Linked DNA regions of Caenorhabditis elegans. The protein of the gene in region 1 purifies or fractionates together with the protein of each later gene. This does not show direct contact. Each region holds a gene or a part of one and is shown in the gene's direction. Other genes may lie near its edges.

The links. The genes of interacting proteins can lie anywhere in the genome.
Region 2: the proteins of dcs-1 (region 1) and xrn-1 purify together in Caenorhabditis elegans (affinity purification with western blotting, with the first as the bait; one study listed by BioGRID). This does not show direct contact.

The regions. Positions count from the first base shown.
Region 1 is NC_003283.11:20,086,612-20,094,197, reverse strand, and holds dcs-1 (m7GpppX diphosphatase), read left to right. Parts: upstream 1-3,454; 5' UTR 3,455-3,455; coding exon 3,456-3,572; intron 3,573-3,659; coding exon 3,660-3,840; intron 3,841-3,887; coding exon 3,888-4,033; intron 4,034-4,691; coding exon 4,692-4,886; intron 4,887-5,945; coding exon 5,946-6,073; intron 6,074-6,126; coding exon 6,127-6,295; 3' UTR 6,296-6,350; downstream 6,351-7,586. Other genes in the region: sec-23 (Protein transport protein SEC23), read right to left, coding at 1,219-1,332, 1,607-1,696, 1,746-1,890, 1,946-2,040, 2,793-2,930; fre-1 (NADPH-dependent diflavin oxidoreductase 1), read left to right, coding at 6,475-6,603. UniProt on the Caenorhabditis elegans protein: Decapping scavenger enzyme that catalyzes the cleavage of a residual cap structure following the degradation of mRNAs of the 3'->5' exosome-mediated mRNA decay pathway.
Region 2 is NC_003280.10:14,066,074-14,073,077, forward strand, and holds the start of xrn-1 (5'-3' exoribonuclease 1), read left to right. Parts: upstream 1-2,833; 5' UTR 2,834-2,923; coding exon 2,924-3,130; intron 3,131-4,063; coding exon 4,064-4,164; intron 4,165-4,581; coding exon 4,582-4,789; intron 4,790-6,825; coding exon 6,826-7,004.

The DNA.
Region 1 (7,586 bases):
TTGAAAATTCACAGATTTCAGTGAAAAATTCGAACAAAACAAGGCTATACACTTTTTAATTCAATTTTCCATCCAAAATCTTATAATTCTATTCATTGGTTAGTAGTATGGTAATTCAATTAAATAATGCGCTACTTATGCTCAATTGACCCAGTTTTCTCGAAAAAGTAGGATTCTTCATAAAAAATAAATGTTAAATTGAATGTTATACTATATATATAGTTGTTCTGAAACGTTACAGCTCTGCGGAATAGGTAAAGGTGGTGTAGTCGAATTTTTTTTATTGCCTTATTAGACTCAAAATTGTCTGAAAACACCGAATTTCATAATGAAACTTCTTGAAAACTTGACAAAAAAAAGTTATGGCGGCTCAAAAAATGGCCTAAAATTAGTTAAAATTTGAAATTTGACCGACTTGTCAAGCGGCTGGAAACACTTTTTTTTTGAAATCACCGTCAAATTTTGAGTTTACAAGTTGATTATCTTGCGTTTTAAACTTGATTAAGGTATTTAAAAATCGATGTACGGCGAGATTTTTAATTTTTTTTATCGATAAACTCGCCGTCCATCGATTTTTAAATAGCTTAATCAAGTTTAAAACGCAAGATAATCAACTTGTAAACTCAAAATTTAACGATGATTTCAAAAAAAAAAATTTCCAGCCGCTGCGACATTGATAAGTTAGTCAAATTTCCGATTTTAACTAATTTTAGGCCATTTTTTGAGCCGTCATAACCTTTTTTTGAAAAGTTTTCAAGAAGTTTTATTATGAAATTCGGTGTTTTCAGACAATTTTGAGTCTAAATAAAGCAATTTGAAAAAAATCGACGACACCACCTTTAACTATTCCGCATTTTAGAGCTTTAACGTTTCAGAACAACTATATATATAGTATAACATTTAATTTAACATCTATTTTTAATGAAGAATCCTACTTTTTCGAGAAAACTGGTCAATTGAGCATATTGAGCGCATTATTTAATTGAATTACTATACTAGTAACCAATGAATAGAATTATAAGATTTTGGATGGAAAATTGAATTAAAAAGTGTATAGTCTTGTTTTGTTCGAATTGTTCACTGAAATCCGAGAATTTTCAATAATTCTCTAATTTTTCGCTATTCATTTTGCATTTACTTAGTGTTTTTTTTTTGGCATTTTTCGGCATTTTTCAGGCTTCTAACCCAAAAAATCCAATTTTCCCTGCAATTTATTACCTTGAAAACGTAGCTTCTCGAGATTCCCTGAGTGTTGAGCTCATGCAGCTGGACCATTCTACCGTAGGTGATCAATCCGACGAGAGCATCGGCTGGGAGCAGCGAGAGAGCAGTCTGAAATTGGAAAAATTGGGAAATTTTGCCCAAAAATCTGAATTTTACGGCAAAAATTGCCAATTTTCATGAAAAATAACACTATTATGTTTAAAAAAGTCGAATTTTCAAGCGAAAATGAGCAGAAATTCCCATTTTTCAGCAGAAATTCCCATTTTTGAGTGAAAAAATCACAAATTTTGAGTTGGAAAACCGACGAATTTTCGAGCAATTTTCCGCGAAAATTTTAAAAAACCGCCGTTTTTTTCTCAATTTTCTGCAATTTGTCCCGTACTTGAAGGCATTCTTTCAGCGATTTCAGCTCCTCTGCAGTCATACACGTGTCGACGACGAAAACGAAGATCGGCGGCATTGTGGTGGCTTTCTGGAATAAAGATTTGGCTTAAAACTCGGATTTTTCAGCATTTTCTCACTCGAAGCGTGTACTCAATGGTTGTAAATTGTGGATAGAGCTCCGGCGGGCGGTTATCCTCGGCAATTGCCGCATAATGAGCCGGGAACGGATTCCGATTGTTGCAGAATGGGCACATCCAGATTTTGGCGCGATAATCGACGGCGCTGAAAGCATCATTTTTCGGGGTGAAAATCGGGCAAAAAAAGGCCTGAAACTCACCAAAGTGGGTTTAAAATCGCTTTACAGCTGGCTTTTTGGCACAAAACCGGATCATATTCCAGTGGTGGTTGGGCGACTTCTGTTGATGGGCGCTCCTGGAAAAAAAATTTGGTTTTTGAGAGAAATTTGATGAGAAATCGTGAAATTTCAGCTTAAAATCGGCTTGAACTCCGCAAAATTGGATTAGCAGCGCCTAAAGCTTGTAGTTTGTAGTTTAGCAGCGCCTAAAGCTTGTAGTTTGTAGTTTCAGCAGCGCCCAAAATTGGATTAGCAGCGCCCAAAACGTGTAGTTTGTAGTTTAGCAGCGCCCAAAATTGAATTAGCAGCGCCCAAAACTTGTAGTTTGTAGTTTTAGCAGCGTTCAAAATTGGATTAGCAGCGCCCAAAACTTGTAGTTTGTAGTCTAAGCAGCGCCCAAAATTGAATTTTTTTTTTGCGTTTCTCAGCGGAATTTTACGATTTTTGCAGAGATTACCGACTTTTTAAGGTAAAAATGCAGAAATTCCGATGGAAATTGAGAAAAAAATCGCGTTTTTAATCGAAAAATTGCTGAAATTCATGCCTTCGGTGTTTCGAAGCTGCCGATCGGCTCGAGCAGCTACCAAATTTGAATTTTTAGAAGATTATAACGAATTTCTGGCAAAAAATGAAGCAATCCACTAAAATTTGCAAAGATTCGGAGAAAATTGATGGAATTTCGATGGATTTGAAGAAAAATTGCTGAAAATAGGCTTTTCCTCAGCTTTTGGCGCTGCTCGGCAGCTACAAAATCCAATTTTCAATGCTTAAAATTCAATAATTCCACGAAAAATTCGAAGAAAATCCAGTTTCCGCGCCTCAGTTTTACCTTCAGCGGCGTGAAAAAGCAGGTGAGCGGGACGACAAGCTTCTGAGAATCCACTCGACTGTGTGGCCACATGTTCCACGTGAATTGGACGCCATCGTTCGCCTGTTGAGCACCCAAATATTCTTCCCAAGTGGCCATTTTTACTGGAATAAACTGGTAATGAACTTTTTATCGCGGAAAATGATGAAAAACGAGGAGAATACGTGGATTACGTGTGAAATTCTGGTTTTTCACCATTAAATTTTAATTTTATTAATATAAAACACTGAAAATCACGTTTAATAGCGAAAAATCGAGTTTTTTGGGTTTTTATGGTTGCCCAATCAATTTTCGTCATTTTTTCGACATATGCAAGGTGAAAACTATGATTTTTACACTAAAATCAATAAAAATCGACTTATTTTCAATATTTTAGCAAGAAAAATCAGAAAAAATGGTGAAAAACGAGTGAAAATCTGCAAAATTCCAACAGAAAATGTACACGTGGAGGAAGATGGCCGAGAAAAGAATTGGAGTTTTCTAGGCCGCGGCCAGTGTGTTGTTTTACGATGCGTGACACTTTTGAAAATGTTTTTTGAGTTGGTTTTCTCGATTTCTACCGTTTTTCGTTGCAATTTCTGTATCTTTTTGGTGAATAATAAGTGAAAATCTCGATTTTTCAGTATGAAACGGATCGCCGACGAGGAACTTGTGCGAGAGGAGCGTGCAGAGGAGAGTACACAGAAATGGCTGCAGGATGCCAAGTTTCAAGAGATTTTAGGCGCTGATTCGTCGCATAAGGTGAGAAAATCAATAAAAAGTGAATTTTTTGCATTAAGAAACAATAAATTTCACCTAAAAATCATAAAAATCAATATTTTCTTCCAGTCTCTCTTCGTTTTGCTCTCCCATCCCGATGGATCTCAAGGCATTCTGCTTGCCAACAAGTCTCCGTTTTCCGAAGAAAAATCCGATATCGAGAAGCTTCTGGCGACTGCACAGCTTCAAGAAATCTCCAGAAATGACATTTTCGGGTCCTATAATATAGAAATCGATCCCAAATTGAATTGTAATCCACACAATCTTGCTTAAATTAATTTTTAATTCAATTTTCAGTGCTAAAATCTCAACTAATCTACCCGATAAACGATCGTCTCATTGCAAAATACCGTCAGGAGGAGAAATTCGTGATTCGAGAGACTCCAGAGCTTTATGAGACTGTTACAAGGCCGTATATTGAGAAATATCAGCTGAATCTCAATGTAAGCAGCGAAAAAATGAAGAAAATCGGAGAAAATACCAAGAAAATGAGTTTAGCAGCGCCCAAAACGTGTAGTTTGTAGTTTAGCAGCGCCCAAAACTTGTAGTTTGTAGTCTTAGCAGCGCCCAAAATTGAATTAGCAGCGCCCAAATCTTGTAGTTTGTAGTCTTAGCAGCGCCCAAAATTGAATTAGCAGCGCCCAAATCTTGTAGTTTGTAGTCTTAGCAGCGCCCAAAATTGAATTAGCAGCGCCTAAAACGTGTAGTTTGTAGTGTTAGCAGCGCCCAAAACGTGTAGTTTGTAGTCTAAGCAGCGCCCAAAATTGAATTAGCAGCGCCCAAAACGTGTAGTTTGTAGTCTAAGCAGCGCCCAAAATCACGATTATCGATTTTCACTCGTTTTTCTTCGATTTTTTCGAATTTTTTGATTTTTCTTTTGGTTTTAAGTGAAAAACAAGACAGAAAATGAGAATATTCTGCAAAAAATTGACAAAAACCATTAAAAATTCGTAGATTTTCTCTGTTTTTCAGAGTTTTTAGCGTTCAAAGTGAATAAAAATTCGGAAATTAGTAGAAATACTGAAAATCGCACAATTTTAAATGAGAAAATGCGATTTTCCGCTCGAAATTTCTTTTTCAAAAATCAATTTTTCGTTTCAGTGGGTGTACAATTGCCTGGAAAAGCGCTCGGAAGTCGATAAAATCGTGTTCGAAGACCCCGACAATGAAAATGGCTTCGTACTTCTTCAGGATATCAAATGGGACGGAAAAACCTTGGAAAATCTCTATGTTCTCGCTATTTGTCACCGCCACGGCCTGAAATCTGTCCGGGATTTGACTGGAGATGATTTGGAGGTAGAAAATCGGATTTTCTACCGGAAAATTGCAATTTTCGCTGAAAAAAAAAGCAAAATCACTCTAAAATGACGATTTTTCGCCCAATAAATCGCAAATTGTAGTTAAAAAACGTGAAATCTCTCTAAAATTGTCCGGAAATGGCAAAATCAAGATTTTACCGAAATTTCCGTCAAAAATCACCAAAAATGCAAAATATCTCTGAAAATCTGCAATTTTAGGCACAAAAGCAAAGAAAAATGTCAAGTTTCGCACAATAGTACCGATATTTATCTGAAAATTACATTTTTCCACTCAAAAATCGACAACTTGTAGTTTGTAGTCTTAGCAGCGCCCAAAATTGAATTAGCAGCGCCCAAAACTTGTAGTTTGTAGTTTAGCAGCGCCCAAAATTGAATTAACAGCGCCTAAATCTTGTAGTTTGTAGTTTTAGCAGCGTTCAAAATTGAATTAGCAGCACCTAAATATTGTAGTTTGTAGTCTAAGCAGCGCCCAAAATTGAATTAGCAGCACCTAAATATTGTAGTTTGTAGTCTAAGCAGCGCCCAAAATTGAATTAGCAGCGCCCAAAACTTGTAGTTTGTAGTTTAGCAGCGCCCAAAATTGAATTAACAGCGCCTAAATCTTGTAAATCTCGGGCGGAGACAGCTCGCCACGCCCACATCGAGTTAAACGCAGCGGCGCGCGGAACCCGTAGGATGTCCGCGGCCTGATATTGGTTGGTCCCAGAATTTTTGCTTTTTCTCCGTGAGTAGACGAGAAAAAGGCGGGGCCTAAATTTGAGGTTTTCTGCAGTACACGCCACGCAGTTTTCTTATTTTGAGTGTAAGCAGCGCCCAAAATTAAATTAGCAGCGTCCAAAACTTGTAGTTTGTAGGCTAAGCAGCGCCCAAAAATTGTGTAGTTTGTGAAATTTCCGGTAAAATGCTAGTTTTTCTTGCAATTTTCACTGAAATTTCAAGTTTTCGAGTCAAAAAATGCCAATTTTCACCGTAAAATATCGATTTTTGAGTGAAAAAAGCCAAATTCCCTTAAAAATTCAAAAAATTTCAATTCCAGATGCTGTACAACATGCGTGACAAGTCCCTCGAGGCAATAAATCAGAAATATGGCCTAAAAACCGATCAAATCAAGTGCTATTTCCATTATCAACCGTCTTTTTATCATCTTCACGTTCATTTTATCAAGTAATCTCTCTCTGAAAACCTGGGAAAAAACTAAAATTTTCTCGAATTTTCAGCCTAAAATACGATGCCCCGGCGAGCACTACAATGTCGGCTATCCTGCTCGATGACGTCATCAACAATTTAGAGCTTAACCCGGAGCATTATAAGAAATCCACGTTGACATTTACCCGAAAAAATGGCGATAAACTGATGGAAATGTTCCGGGAAGCTTTGAAAAATTGACAAATTAATAATTTTTTGCGTTGATTTTTTAATTTATAAATTGTTTTTTTTTCTGGATTTTTCACTCACAGATTTTCCCCCCGCCGAAAATTCTGTAATTTTCAGTGATTTTCTCTATTTTTCACCCCCCCCTCCCCCCTCAAAATCCCCGTTTTTCACCATTTTTCAGCCAATTTTAGATGTCTATCGCCATTCTATATGGCAGTGAGACGGGCACCGCACAGGATATCGCCGAATCTCTGCGACGGGAAGCTCAACAGCGACATTTACAGGCGAGAGTTCACGAGTTGGACGAATATGATGTTTCGGTGAGGAGGAATTGGAGGCTGAAGAAATCCATGGAAATTCGGTTATTTACATGAAAAATGTGAAAAAAAAACTTCAAAAATTCCAATTTTGCCGAAAAATTCACATAAAAACCATGGAAAACGTGGAAAAATTAAAGTTTAGCTAAATTTAGCAAAAAAATTGCTGAAAACTTCGAAAAATTCCGAAAAATCTGCGTGGAAAATCCAATTTATTCAAAATCCTGACTGGAAAAATGAAAAATTTCGGGAAAATCCGCGTGGAAAACATGAAAATTGGTTTAGCAGCGCCCAAAAATTGTAGTTTGTAGTCTAAGCAGCGCTCAAAACTTGTAGTTTGTAGTCTTAGCAGCGCTCAAAACTTGTAGTTTGTAGTCTTAGCAGCGCCCAAAATTGAATTAGCAGCGCCCAAAATCTTGTAGTTTGTAGTGTTAGCAGCGCCCAAAATCTTGTAGTTTGTAGTCTTAGCAGCGCCCAAAACTTGTAGTTTGTAGTCTTAGCAGCGCCCAAAATCTTGTAGTTTGTAGTCTTAGCAGCGCTCAAAACTTGTAGTTTGTAGTGTTAGCAGCGCCCAAAACTGAATTAGCAGCGCCCAAAAACTTGTAGTTTGTAGTCTTAGCAGCGCCCAAAATCTTGTAGTTTGTAGTCTTAGCAGCGCTCAAAATTGAATTAGCAGCGCCCAAAATTGAATTAGCAGCGCCCAAAACTTGTAGTTTGTAGTTTGGCAGCGCCCAAAACTTGTAGTTTGTAGTCTTAGCAGCGCCCAAAATCTTGTAGTTTGTAGTCTTAGCAGCGCCCAAAACTTGTAGTTTGTAGTCTTAGCAGCGCCCAAAATCTTGTAGTTTGTAGTTTAGCAGCGCCCAAAATCTTGTAGTTTGTAGTGTTAGCAGCCCAAAATCTTGTAGTTTGTAGTCTTAGCAGCGCTCAAAACTTGTAGTTTGTAGTCTTAGCAGCGCCCAAAATCTTGTAGTTTGTAGTCTTAGCAG
Region 2 (7,004 bases), on another chromosome or scaffold:
TATTTGAATTACCACCAATTGGATTTGTTCGATGGAGCGCGCTTGCACGTTTTTAAATTTATTTATTTTATTTTTTGTTATTTTCCACCGATTTTTAATGTTTTCGATGGATTTTTGCTCGAGTTTTAGAGAAAAAGTCAAAATAAATGCAAACAGGCGTAAATCAGTTAAATTAATTAATTCAGGTTCGAAATCGTTTAAAAGCGTTACTTTTTCATTTTAACGCCTGTCATCAGCGTGCCTTTTAATCGAAAATTTGCATTTATTTTAACTTTTTTTTTTCTAAAATTCGAGCAAAAATACACCGAAAATAATAAAAATCGGTGAAAAATAACAAAATATGAAATAAATGAATTTAAAAACGTGCAACAATCGCGCTCCATCGAACAAATTCAATTGGCGGAAATTCAAATAGGAATTAGGCAAAAACTGAGATTTTTCCAATTTTCAAAAAAAATCATATAAAATTTAGAAAATTTTTTTGAATTTTTAAATCATGATATTCGGTCATTGTGGTACAATAGGCATGTTTTAAAGCAATTTCCCCACTAGCGCTACTCCACCTTTAATCCCCCCCCCCCCCCCCCCCAAAAAATTCGAATACTGATGAAATCTGTCCTATTTATTTATTTTATCTTTTATTTTTTTTTTTGTATTTTTCACCGCATTTCTTGCAAAGTTCACAACAATAAACTCATTCACCGAAGGCTCCCTGTAGGCAAAAAAGGGCCTTTAAAGGTAAAAACCGCCTTATATATCTCAAAAAAAAGACCTTCCGCCTAACCGTCTGCGCTCTCTCTCTTCCATGAGATATCTCTCGCGTCGTCTTCAATTTTTCCTCCGCGCGTATTTCCATTAGAAAACGCGATTTTTACAGTTTTTCGTTGAAAAAATGCAAAAAATTGATCGGATTTTCAAATTCACCCATGAAATTTGAATTTTCTAATTGAAAATGTTGAATTTTCACGACGATTTTCCAGCTAAAAATGCACATTTTTAACGTTTTTCTCAGCAAATTTTTAATTTTCCCAATTTTTATCGGCATTTCGCCATATTTCAACACAAAATTGCGCAATTTAATCACATTTTTAGGGCGGAATCAGCGATTTTTGTCTAATTGCAGAGTTTTTCGACTCAAAAAGCTAGTTTTTAATGTTTTTGGTTGAAAATTGGCATATTTTTTCTTGTGGTTTATAATTTGAAAATATCGCCAGAAAATCGACTTTTTGATGGAAATTGGTGAAAATTGCACTCAAAAAATGAAAATTCGTCGATTTTTGATTGATAAATCTAATTTTTATATTAATTTTTTCGATTTTAAAGTGACAATCACGTTTTTAAAGCAAAAAATTCGAGATTTCTGGCAAAAAAAAGGGTTTTTCATGCTAAAATCGACGTAAAAATCGTTTAAAAGCGCATTTTTCCTTGAAAGTACGAAAAAAATCGGTGTTTTTTTTTTTGGGATTTTCCATTAAAAATTGAGTTTTTCTTGATTTTGCCCGTCAATTTATCAATTTTCCGCCAAAAATCACCAGATATTCGACTAGAATACCTCTCGTCTCACAAAACACGAGTTTTTAGTGGAAAATTGAAAAATATCGCCAGAAAATCGACTTTTCGATAATTTTATAGACATTTTCATGAAAAAACACTAAAATCTCGTGTTTTGTGATACGAGAGGTTTTCTAGTCGAATATCTGGAAAAAATTGGGGATTTTTGGCGGAAAATTGATAAATTGACCGGTAAAATCAAGAAAAACTCAATTTTTAATGGGAAATCCCAAAAAAAACCGATTTTTTTCGTACTTTCGAGGAAAAATGCGCTTTTAAACGATTTTTACGTCGATTTTAGCGATTTTCTGTTAATTTTCGAAATATTTTTGCCGAAAGTCATGAAAAACCCTTTTTTTGCCAGAAATCTCGAATTTTTTGCTTTAAAAACGTGATTGCCACTTCAAAATCGAAAAAATTAAGATAAAAATTAGATTTATCAATCAAAAATCGACGAATTTTCATTTTTTGAGTGCAATTTTCACCAATTTCCATCAAAAAGTCGATTTTCTGGCGGTATTTTCAAATTAAACCACAAAAAAAAATATGCCAATTTTCAACCAAAAACACTAAAAACTAGCTTTTTGAGTCGAAAAACTCTGAAATTAGACAAAAAAAAGAATATCGCCAAAATCGACGTAAAGATCGTTTAAAATCTCATTTTTCCTTGAAAGTACGAAAAAAATCGGTTTTTTTTTGGGATTTTCCATAAAAAATTGAATTTTTCACGATTTCAACCGAGACAATTTATCAATTTTCAAAATCCCCAATTTTTTCCAGATATTCGACTAGAAAACCACCCTCGTATCACAAAACACGAGTTTTTAGTGGAAAATTGGAAAATATCGCCAGAAAATCGATTTTTCGATAATTTTATAGACATTTTCATGAAAAATCGACGTAAAAATCGTTTAAAATCTCATTTTTCGCTCGAAAGTTTGCAGAAAATGCGATTTTTTTTTTGAGATTTTCCATAAAAAATTGAATTTTTCACGATTTCAACCGAGGCAATTTATCGATTTTCCGCCAAAAACCCCCCATTTTTTCAGATATTCCGATTTTGAAGAAAAAAAACACGTTTTCAAAGCAAAATCATCGAGATTTCTGGCATAAAAATGGGATTTTCATGACTTTCCGCAAAAATCCAACTCGAAAATTAACAGAAAATCGTCGTTTAAAAGCGCTTTTTTTTTTTGGGATTTTCCACATAAAAAATTGTGTTTTTCTTGATTTTGCCCGTCAATTTATCGATTTTCCGCCTCAAAAATCCCCCATTTTTTTCAGATATTCGACTAGAAAACCCCCTTCCTCGTATCTAGAATATCGCTAGAATTAACGGATTGATCAAAAAATCGCCAAAAACCCGCCGAAAATGGGTGTCCCCAAGTTCTACCGATGGACATCGGAGCGATATCCGTGTCTGAGTGAAGTGATCAACGAATCGCAAATTCCGGAATTCGACAATTTGTATTTGGATATGAATGGAATTATTCATAATTGCTCGCATCCGAATGACGATGACGTCACGTTTCGAATTACGGAAGACGAGATTTTCGTGAATATTTTCGCGTATATTGAGGTAAAGAGCCGCCGAAAAAATTTGCCCAAAAACGGAGAAATTTGCAAAAAAACCGGCGAAAATTAGTTCAAAAACGGGGAATTTCACAAAAAAAGAGCGAAAATTAGGCTAAAAACGGCGAAAATTGCCAAAAAATGGAGGAATTTGCAAACAAAACGAGGAATTTCACAAAAAAAAAAGAGCGAAATTTGCAAAAAAAAACGGCGAAAATTAGTTCAAAAACGGGGAATTTCACAAAAAAGAGCGAAATTTGCAAAAAAAAAACCGGCGAAAATTAGGCTAAAAACGGCGAAAATTAGCCCAAAACCGGCGAAAATTAGCTCAAAAACAAGGAATTTCACAAAAAAACAGCGAAAATTAGTTCAAAAACAGGGAATTTCACAAAAAACGGAGAAAATTAACCCTAAAAACGGAACATTTTGAAAAAAAAACATCAAATTTCTGTCAAAAACCCGCCAAAAATTGGATTTTTTGAGCTTATTTACGTCTGAAAATGGAAGAATCGGCCTTCTGGATCTCGGCCACGGCCATGTGTCGATTTACACGGCTCGTGTACTCCCCGAGGACAAGATTTTACAGTTTTTTACTAAAATCCCTGATTTCGGGCAGTTTTTGCCTATTTTTTTTTTTTGGATTTTATATTAAAATTTGCCGCCGAAAATCGATAGTTTTACTGTTGAAAAAGTAGAAATTTGGCGGTTTTCAGATCGATTTTCACCGAAAAAAGGCGATTTTAATGTTGAAAACGATGAAAAAAAATGTCCAAAAACTGCAAAATCACCAAAAAATCGAATTTTGGCGGTTTTTCAGCAGAAAATTGTCTGAAAAATCACGATTTAGTGCGCATTTTTCCCGTTTAAATTGAATTTTTTTTTCAAAAAATTCAAATTTTGCTGTAAAAAATGACAAAATTTGATATTTTTCTCTTTTCAGAATCTCTACAATCTAATTCGCCCGCAAAAGGTGTTCTTCATGGCCGTCGACGGTGTGGCTCCGCGAGCAAAAATGAATCAGCAACGGGCGAGACGATTCATGTATGTGGAAGAGCTGCTTTTAGCAGGAAAAAAGGAAATTTGGTGAAAAATTGGCGATTTTTGACCAAAAAATTGTGCTTTTACATTGGAAAACTACTCATTTTTTTCGTATTTTTCCATTAAAAAAACCAATTTTTTGTATTTTTCACTTTGAAAATTCAATTTTTCGGCTCAAAAACTGCAAAAATGTCCAAAATTTGTGATTTTTCACCTAAAAAAAAAATCCAATTTTTGTTATTTTTCACTGCAAAAAATTCAATTTTTCGGCGCAAAAATGTCAGAAATAACCAAAAATTGTGCTTTTTCATTTGAAAAAAATCCAATTTTTGTTCTTTTTTACTCAAAAAATTCAATTTTTTTCGGCTCAAAAACGTCAGAAAAGCTCAAAAAATCTAGCAAAAATTGCAATTTTTCCAGGTCAGCCCGAACAGCCCATACTCAACTCGCAAAAGCGCTGGAAAATGGCGAAATTATGCCATCTGAAGCTCGATTCGACTCGAATTGTATCACCCCGGGCACATATTTCATGACACGGCTTCATCAGAAGCTTGACGATTGGATTAAAACGAAATCGGCGACCGATTCGCGTTGGCAAGGCCGAAAAATTATTCTCAGCGGTCACAATGTGAGGAAAATGATGGCTCTCTTCAGATTGAGCTCCAGATTTGCTCAAAAATCAATTTTCTTTAAATTTTTCAGGAAAAAATTGATGAAAATTCCAATTTCTGATGAAATTTCTAGGAAAATTTGGATTTTACAGCAAAAAAAAAGTGGTACTTTTTACAATTTTGCTGTGAAAATTGCGATAAAATCCAACAAAATGGCTGAAAAATTTTTTTTGACCAAAAAAATCGAATTTGGAGCTCAGATTTGCTCAAAAGTCAATTTTTTTTCATATTTTTTAGGAAAAAATCGATGAAAAATTGCAATTTTTCAGGAAATTTTGGATTTTAGACCCAAAAATGAAGTGTTTTTTCAACAAAAAAAACCCGATTTTTTTTTATGTTTTAGAGCTAAAAATCAGCATTTTAGTCCAATTTTTTTTATAAAAACGTTAAAATTTGTATATTTTTGCTTTAAAAATTGCGGTGTTTTGGGCCTTTAGGTGAAATTTTGCGAACTTTTTTAGAGAAAAAACTGAATTTTTGCTTTAAAGCGTTTATTTATTCGAATTTTCGAAAAAAAATTTCACAGATTTCAAGCCAATTTTGGCTTAAAATCAAGAAAAAATCACGTTTCTTCGTCTATTTTAATGCTAAAAACCGGGTTTTTGAGTAAAAAAGTGTTAAATTTCAAATTTTTATTATTTAAAAAAGATTCGGAAAGCGAAAAATTGCAATTTTTCTTGAAATTTTTTAGAAAATTCGGATTTTAGGGCGAAAAAAATAGAAATTTGTACGTTTTTGATGTAAAATAGCTGAAATTTGCTCAAAAATCAATTTTTCTCATTTTTTGAAGGAAAAATTAATTCGCTTTTCACTAAATCTGACAGGGAGCCGGAAAATTCGGAAAATTTGGCTCAGAAACTGATTTTTTTGCCGAAAAAACCGCGAAATAAGCGGCTAAAAACGAGAAAAAAAAATGCCAAAACACTCAAATTTTCATCTATTTTGATGAATTTTGTAGCAAATTTCATGGAAAATGATCTAGAAATTCGGCAGAAAAAATGCATTAAAATTTGCATTTAAAAAAAATTTGTGAAAAGTAATTCGCAATTTTTCGCTGTCAGATTTAGTGAAAAGCGAATTAATTTTTCCTTCAAAAAATGAGAAAAATTGATTTTTGAGCAAATCTGGGCTCCAAAAATGATAATTTTCAGCTATTTTTCATCATGAAAAACGTACAAATTTCTACTTTTTTCCTCATAAAAAACCGGATTTTTCCAGAAATTTATTTTTGGAAAACTCTAGGTGGTCCAAAAAAATTTTTTTCAGCCATTTTGTTGGATTTTATTGCAATTTTTACAGCAAAATTGTAAAAAGTACCACTTTTTTTGCTGTAAAATCCAAATTTTCTTAGAAATTTCATTAAAAATTGGAATTTTCATCAATTTTTTCCTGAAAAATTTAAAGAAAATTGATTTTTGAGCAAATCTGAGCTCCAAAAATGATAATTTTAAGCTATTTTTCATGAAAAACGTACAAATTTCTATACTTTTTGCGTCATAAAAAACCGGATTTTTCCAGAAATTTCGAGAAAAAATGCAATTTTTCATCGATTTTTTCCTAAAAAAATATGAAAAAAAATTGACTTTTGAGCAAATCTGGGCTCCAAATTAGATTTTTTTTTTTGGTCAAAAAAAATTATTTTCAGCCATTTTATTGGATTTTATTGCAATTTTCACAGCAAAAATACTCAAATTATTACTTTTTTTGCTGGAAAATCCAAATTTTCATAGAAATTTCATTAAAAATTGGAATTTTCATTAATTTTTTCCTAAAAATTATGAAAAAAATTGACTTTTGAGCAAATCTGAGCTCCAAATTCGATTTTTGTTTGGTCAAAAAAAAAATTTTCAGCCATTTTGTTGGATTTTATCGCAATTTTCACAGCAAAATTGTAAAAAGTACCACTTTTCCAAATTTTCAAAAGATCCAAAAATGAGCAAATCTGGGCTCGAAATTCTAAAAAATTGAAATTTAAAGCTTTTACTCGTTGCAGGTGCCCGGTGAAGGAGAGCACAAAATAATGGATTTTATCCGTACGGAACGGGCCGGCTCGAGCTACGATCCAAATACACGTCACTGTATGTACGGCCTGGACGCCGATCTGATAATGCTCGGAATAGTCTCCCATGAGCCACATTTCTCGTTGCTCCGAGAGGAAGTGACGTTTAATAC